Linked DNA regions of Kluyveromyces lactis. The protein of the gene in region 1 interacts with the protein of each later gene in a pairwise test. Links are inferred from orthologs where the notes say so. Each region holds a gene or a part of one and is shown in the gene's direction. Other genes may lie near its edges.

Evidence for each region. The genes of interacting proteins can lie anywhere in the genome.
Region 2: the proteins of UBP10 (region 1) and DHR2 interact in a two-hybrid assay, tested with the Saccharomyces cerevisiae proteins (4 studies listed by BioGRID, with this or other methods). The link is inferred for Kluyveromyces lactis from reciprocal best matches to the Saccharomyces cerevisiae genes UBP10 and DHR2.

Annotation. Positions count from the first base shown.
Region 1 is NC_006040.1:717,546-721,766, reverse strand, and holds UBP10 (ubiquitin-specific protease UBP10), read left to right. Parts: upstream 1-1,468; coding exon 1,469-3,721; downstream 3,722-4,221. Other genes in the region: MRPL19 (mitochondrial 54S ribosomal protein uL11m), read right to left, coding at 4,048-4,221. UniProt on the Saccharomyces cerevisiae protein: Deubiquitinating enzyme involved in telomere and HM loci silencing, which is the repression of chromatin structure which leads to a stop in the transcription of nearby genes.
Region 2 is NC_006042.1:2,427,046-2,431,058, forward strand, and holds DHR2 (RNA helicase), read left to right. Parts: upstream 1-1,314; coding exon 1,315-3,513; downstream 3,514-4,013. Other genes in the region: AEP1 (Aep1p), read right to left, coding at 1-485. UniProt on the Saccharomyces cerevisiae protein: Probable ATP-binding RNA helicase. Required for 18S rRNA synthesis.

The DNA of each region.
Region 1 (4,221 bases):
CAGGAGGCCTAATAAACAAACCATGACAACAGAGAAAAAGTGAAGAAAAGAAAGAAATTTGAAAGCCCAAAACCTGAATCAAATGTAAACACATTCGGAGCAGTCATAGCTTTCAGTGCCGTTCCAAATCGTTACAAAGTCAGAAACAAACAAAGATAATGACCAACTTTCGAAACTGTAAATAAAGATCTAAACACATAGATCTTAGAGTTGCATATCTCCATTTTGTTGGAGTTTCAGCTCCTCGGCTTACCTCTTCCTTTCTTTCAAGAAGGCTACAAAAACGCTGATACTATGGAGATATAGGCGTCACAGAGTTACAAGCAATACGGCAACGTTTTAATTACTCAATCCACCCACAACTAGTCCTTGTCAAACGTGTTTGCGGGGGGTTAACAATCGGAGGCTAATGGTTGTGTCAGTGACTGATACTATTTTTACTCCCAATGTACATAAAAATTCCCCTCCTTTCTTTTTCAATCTCGAGTACATGTTGCGGATTTATTAGCACATGGAAAGCTCAACCACAGGGGCAAAGGGAAAAGAGTTGAGAGGAAAAGAGTGATTAATCGAATAATCAGTTTGATGGAGCCTTTGGAAAAAGGTCAAAGTTGTAGAGATCTGGAGAACGTAAACAAAGAGATAGGCACTTATATATACAAAACAGAGATTATCAACAGGTAAACAAAGGAAACGTAAACAAATACACCTCATAGCTGCATCAGCTGCATAGAGCATGTCAGCGGCTATCGAACAAGCCTAATCATGGATATGTTATGAACGTTATCGAGGTTGGTATCTGTTCAGTTGCCCTTTTTGAGATTGCAATCTGATAAGGATTCCAGTCGAGCCAATCGGAGAAAAGACGGACATTATGGATGTCTTTGTGTCTCTATTTTTGTGTCCCAAAACATAGAGTCATAGAGACATTGCAGCGTGGTCGGATTAAAGGGACAACAAGATCCCGCCCTATTTCTTTTCTTTTTTATTCGCTTGAGGGAGGAGAGGCGGATGGGACGGCGAGGTGGATTGAGGAACACTGATGTTGTGTTTTTAAGAAAATGACTAACATCCGGGTATCCTTTCACGTGACACAAAATACCATGACGTATTGCATTATTGCTGTTACCCGGCTTTCATATCGCTTTTTTTGTGGCACACCAAAAACCAGACACAAAAACGTGTCAAAGGAGCGTGTCTGGTTATTTGCTACCCGGATACTTTGATATCCAGAGTTTATAGATTCAGTTCTTTTTTTTTTTTCTTTGGATCCATTTTTTTTATCGAATTTTCGCTGTCAAAACCTCCCTCTCTAAGGCCAGATCAAAGAAAAAAAAAATAATAAAGAGAAATAAAATATTATACTAGAAAAGGTTTTACTAAACAGCAGGTTATTTCAGAAGAGTTCGAAAAGCTTGCGGACAGAAAAGGGCTAGGGTGCAGTTTTCTATCAGGAAGAACTAAGGTAATGACTGATTCTGTAAAACCACTAGTGGATCGTATCGTTTCGCAACCGTTGGAATTCAAGAAAGCTGTTCAAGAGGACTCATATAACGTCGGTGGTGAAGGCTCTTCGTATATTATGATCTCATCGAGCACCCAGAAACAGCAGCAGGAAGCCAAAGAAGGCGATGAGCATCAGTTAGAGCATGGACATCATCAGGGTATAGCTGCTACTGCAACTGCGTCCCGTAAGGAGAAGGTGGTCAAGCCCTCATCATTTGCAGAGGCGTTGAAGATGTATACCACTAAGAAAAGTGCGGCAAACGCTGCGGAATCTAAGCCAAACAGAAGTTCGCAATTACCAATTACCGCTTCTCATGTGACTCCATCGGGGAAATTATCTATCGGTTTGAGCAATGAGCTTTTACTCAGTGATGATGACTATCATGGATCCTCGACTGAAGATGAGGAGCATCCAATCGTGTCGTTGTTGGAAAACAAAGTGACCCCAGATTCAAACGAAATGTCGGGTTCTGGGTCTTCTTCCGCTTCTTCATCATCTGCTGCAACTTCTGCTCCTGTCTCGTCGTCTGATGACGACGATGAGGATGAGGATGAGGATGAAGTGTTTCATGAGGCTAATGAATTCGTTCAACCATCGCTGGCATTAGCTGCTCCTGCTGAGCAGCCTGGAAATGTCGATGAAGATGAAGATAGTGATGACAGTTCATTCCACGCTTCTTCTGCATCAGCAGAAGACGAGGATGACGAGAATGACGAGGATGTTTCTGCAGAGGAAAAGGAAGAACTCAAATTGGAGGCTACTGAACATGCTGCTGCTTCTTCTTGTCAGTTCAAAGGAGTGTCTTCATCTTCAACTGCGGCTGCTTCTGAGAGCAAACCTGAAGAAGAGGAAAATGGCGAAGAAGAGGAAGAGGATGAAGAATTGAAGCACAAATCTCCACAACCTCTATCACCTACCCCTCCTACCACTCTTCAGGACAAGTCAAGCTTCTACCAATTTAACGAGTCGATTAATGACCATGGTTCTAATAAACCACAGAGGATAGTTAAGAATTGGGGCTCTAAGTTGACCCAGCTGAAACCAAGGGGTTTACTCAACCATGGTGTCACATGTTACACAAACGCTGCTGTGCAAGCCATGGTTCATATTCCAGCAATTCAACACTATTTATTTCAATTACTACGTGGAAATTTCAAGGACACCGTTAAGTCTAACTGTGTTTCCATGTTATTAGCGGAAACTACGATGAGAATGTGGTCTTCTGACTCAACTAAAAATACGTACATTAATCCTGATAAATTAATCAATGCGTTGGAAGACATTAACTGTATGATGAGCGCTTGGAACCAAGAGGACTCTCACGAATATTTTATGTCTTTAATGTCACGTTTACAAGAGGACTCGGTTCCTAAGGGCCATAAAATGACAGAATCCATCATTTACGATGTATTCGGTGGATTACTACAACAATCAGTTAAATGCAGTAACTGTGGTGAGATTTCAACCACTGAACAACCTATATACGATCTTTCATTGCATTTAAAGGGTAGAAAGACAACTGATCAAGATCAAAACTCTGTTGGTCAAGATAATTCAATTGATAACTCTGTTGATCAACAGCAATCTTCAAAGAGAAGGTTTTCAATTGAAAAATCTATTCGGGATTTCTTCAATCCTGAGTTAATCAAAAGAGTGGACAACAAAGAAGGGTATACATGTGAGAAATGTAAGAAAGTTACTAACGCGCTAAAGTCAAACAAGATTATTCGTGCTCCAGAGACTCTAGTGGTTCATTTAAAAAAGTTCAGATTTAATGGCACATCTTCATCCAAAATGAAGCAGGCCGTATCTTATCCAATGTTTTTAGATCTAACGGAATACTGCCATGAATCAATCAGCTCCTTACCCGTAAGATACCAACTAATTAGTGTCGTTGTGCATGAAGGGCGATCTTTATCTAGCGGTCATTATATCGCACATTGTAAGCAACCAGATGGAAGTTGGGCCACATATGACGACGAATACATCAATAAAATTTCAGAAAAACAGCTTTTGAAAGAGCCAAACGCGTACTTCTTAGTGTACACTAGACTTACACCAAAATCGGTCCCACTTTCCTCTCAATCTTCCAATAAATCTACTGATCTAGGTATTCCGCAATTGCAAAGACCTCCATCTTCACACTCATCATCGCAGAACAACTCTAAACGTAAGAATAAGAAAAAAAACAAGAAGAGAAGGATTTCCCCATAAGTTTGAATAACCCTTTCCTTAAACTACCGGCTTACAATACACTTGCATCCTTGTTCATTCTTTCTTTGTAAACAGTCATACATGCATCTACCTCACACTGACTTCAGTTCATCTTTTTTCACTTCGGTTTCAGTTCATTTGGATCATCATATACATCTTCATCTATAGTAGTTGATATATTATTATAATTTTATCTTTTCATTATTCTATTTTATGTACACGAAATGAGGTCTACAAATGCTAATAAACCAGTTGGAATGAAACTCTCCATCGAGACCTTCACTATTTCACAAATCGATGCTTTGATTAGTGAAAAAAAAGTCAGTTTATGGAACTACCTTAATACCCATACTCTTAGCAACACCGATAATAGACTTTACGATTCCTTCAAGTTCCAGAGCAGCGTGTCTTCCATCGGTCTTCTTGATCTTGGCGATCTCATATATATGTTTTAACGACAGTTCACCACATACATTATCAGGGTTACTGATATTTGGTTG
Region 2 (4,013 bases), on another chromosome or scaffold:
GTCTCGAATGACAGCTGTGGATGGCTGTTCAAAAAGTTGTCTAATTGTTTAACAAATGGAGACTCCGAGGTCAGTTTCGTTTTTCTCACTTTTGGTCCGGAGTCTGATGAAGTAATGTTGACTTTATGAAAGAGACGGTCTCCGGATTTATGTATTCTCTGAACCCATTTTGATACATCTTTAACTGTGTCAAAACTCAATCTGGATTCCACTAGAGTAGATTCACTTGTCACTGGGTGTCTCACAAATGCTGGTAATACCGGCTTCCCATTGAAAAGTTTTGGATTCCTTTCAGTGATGCACAAAGCTGTGCGTTCGGTAGCATTAGGATATTGGTAGAATGGATGTACAATCTTGTTAGCTGCTGGAACCACGTACTCAGGTAGATGTCCCCATTCTTCATCTGCTACTTTGAATTTGTTTTTTGGAACCAGTAGCGTCTTGCCCGGTTGCAACTTATTAGCAGCTCTAGAAAGTATACTCATATCACGGGAAAAAAGATGAGAGAGTGAAATGTAGATAGTAGATGCAGTGGTTAACGTCGTAGCCACAGATAATATATAGTTTTCCCCAGATGTGATTGGTGAACGGTCCCCTATAGGTCTAACGCTGTAGGTTGAGTTTATCTACCATGCTGAAATAAAGCTTTTTTTTTCAGTTTCGAAGGTGCTTGAGAAAATACAAGTTCAACACTGTTCAAATCATCGTGGAATTACAATTAAGAGACGCAGCCCAGTAAAGAGCACCCTGTTCAAAGAATATGATACTCTTTTACTACACCGAAGACAGCATTAGTTTATATATATATATATATAAACTAATTTTCTCTTGATGGTGTTATTCCTTCTCTATGTTAAGGCAATGATGAGAATTTGTCACTGCTGATAAATGGATATCGTTCCAGTATAGTATTGAATAATAGACTAATCGTTTATTATGAGAGTTCCTCTGTAACGCTTGAAAGTGAAGCAAGAGAGTTAGGTGTGATATACATTCAGGACTTCTTGTCAGCCATCATCTTATGCCAGATGTATCAACAATATCAGTTTTTTTTTTCATTGGCAATATTGAATCGATGATGAGCTAAGAAAATTTTCAGCAGAAACGTAAATAGTAGCTATTTCCAGAGATGAGATGCGATGAGCTATGGAAAATTACAAGCTTGGTTTTGTCAAAGGTCTTTTCAGCTTTCTTGAGTTGAGATTATTGCTATTATTGCCAACCACTTGCTGTAAGGAGCTAGCAGTGAGGATCTACAGCTTCCTTATTTGTTGACCCACTCGAGTTTGATTCAACTATAGACCTATCACTCAGATGGGAAAGAAGAGTAAAGCGGTTCAAGACCGGCAGAATGGGAAGTCCATTGGAAAGAAGAAATCCAATGCAAACCCGTTAAAACGTCACGCTGGGAAGAAGACCGTAGTTACTTTTGATGACCATCAAGATGGAGATACTGGGGATTCGGATTCCGAAGCCTTGGATCATGTGTCAAATAAAGAGTTAAAGACAAGGGCACTGAGGTTATTGAAAGGGCGTGAGAGTTTACCAGTATTCCAGAATAAGGAAAAGATCGTGTCTCACATTAAAGCTAATCCAGTTACCATATTGATTGGTGAAACAGGTTCTGGTAAATCTACACAAATTCCCCAATTTTTGATGGATGAGATTTCTCCGATGCACAAAGGGGCCATAGCTGTTACTCAACCACGTAGAGTTGCAGCAATCAATCTTGCAACTCGGGTGGCGCAAGAGCACGGATGTAGAATTGGTCACGAAGTTGGTTATTCTGTTCGGTTTGATAATAAAAGTCACAAGACAAGAACTAAATTGAAATACTTGACAGATGGTATGTTAATCAGAGAATTAATGCTGGACAAGAACCTATCCAATTATAAATGCATAATCATAGATGAAGCACATGAGAGAACTATATTGACGGATTTGATTTTAGGTTTTTTGAAGGAACTTCAACTGACCAAAAGGAAAGATTTGAAAGTAATAGTAATGTCTGCCACATTACAAGCAGATCTATTCAGCAAATTCTTTTCGAACGCACCTATACTATTCGTTGAAGGCCGCAAATTCAAAGTAGACAGATATTATCTACCCAGACCTTGTGAAGATATAGTGGATAGTGTGGTACGCTGTTCAGTTCAGTTAAACAGTTCAGAAACTACAGGAGATATACTCTGTTTTTTACCGGGGCAAGAAGAGATTGATAAAGCAGTGGCCATTTTAAACAAAATCATTCCATATTTAGACGAATCTGTACCACGCATCACAGCATACCCACTTTATGCTGCATTACCACCAAAAGATCAAGCTAAAGTCTTCGAACCTTTAAAGGGATTCAAAAGAAAAATCGTATTGGCGACTAACATTGCGGAAACATCTGTTACCATTCCTGGAGTTAAATATGTGATAGACTGTGGATTAAGGAAGGTGAAAGTTTGGAGGCATCAGTTGGGGCTAGCTACGTTACTAACTGTTCCTGTTTCAAAGGCTAGTGTAGCACAAAGAGCCGGTCGTGCAGGCAGAGAAAGTTCAGGTAAATGTTTTAGATTATTTACAGAAGCTGATTACAAACAACTGCCGAAACAATCTGAGTCCGAAATTACTCGATGTGAAATTACGTCCCCTATCTTGATGTTGAAACAGTACGGCGTACAAGATATTGTAAACTGGTCGTGGCTAGAACATCCAGGGAAAGAAGCTATTATCTCGGGGCTAAAAGAATTATATGAACTTGGTGCTCTCAATGAACAGGGTCGTGTCACTGATAGAGGTCGCAAGATGGCGCTATTACCTTTAGCACCACATCTAAGTAACGTTTTGATTCATGCTCAAGAGACTCAAGTATTGCCATACGTCATAGATATAGTATCATGTCTGAGTGTTGAAAACTTGGTGTTAAACCCATTGCCTGAGGAACGAGATGAGGTCAACGAAAGAAGAAGGGCATTATGTACCCTAGGCAGTAAGCACGGTGACCTAATCATGCTAAAAGAGTTATTCGACATGTATCAATCATTACAAAGCAATTCGGAGAAACAAGAATGGTGTAAACAGTTATGTGTATCTCAGCGTGGATTCAAAAACGTGATTAAAGTCAGAGAACAGTTGACAGGGTATATGAAGAGACTGTACAATGAACCGGTAGAAATTAAAACAAAACAGGACACCCTACAACCAGAAGAAGACATTGCTACGAATCTGTTGCAGCCGCCAGACATTGCGGGTGTTTTAAAATGTTTCCTATATGGGTTTGTCAAGAACACTGCAATTGGAATGCCTGATAAATCTTTTAGAACAACGCCAACAGGGGAACCAATATCGATCCATCCGTCCTCGATGTTATTCATGAATAGTGGCGATGAAATAGGTCCATGCCCTGCGATATTATACATCGAACACGTATTCACAACAAAGGGATACGCGCGGTCTGTTTCTCGAATTGAATTGGCATGGCTGCAAGAAATTGCCTCAGGCGTTTTGAAGCAATCGACAAGATAATGAGAGAATTATTCGCGGGGTAAAGGAACTGGTCCATCAACCAAAATTTTCCCCGTACTTCTTCGCATTCGAAGTACAGTAAATGCAGGATCTAAATAGGGAACTGTATATATTAATTAATCACATCATAACGATCATATGCGAGCAAAGCACAGTTAATTGTAAATAGTGTAAAACGAAAAAAAAAAAAAAAAGAATGAAGGCACATTTGATTTTCACTGGTAATGGCCTGTGTGAGTTCTTTCTGTACGGCACTTTCAGTCAAATCTCTTCAAACAGCTCTCGAAACATAATCGAACAATAATGTGTGTCCAGATCGGAATACAGAATAAAGAAAACACCGAGGAAAGAAACGGTTTTTCCGTTTGTGGCCGTACTTCTCCAAGAATTTGTCGTGGTATTTTTTTTTTTATTTTTTTTTAGTTTTTTTTTAGTTTTTTTTTTATTTTTGCTCTTGGAATGGGATGGGAAGAGATAATTCAAGTTCTACGTAAACTCAG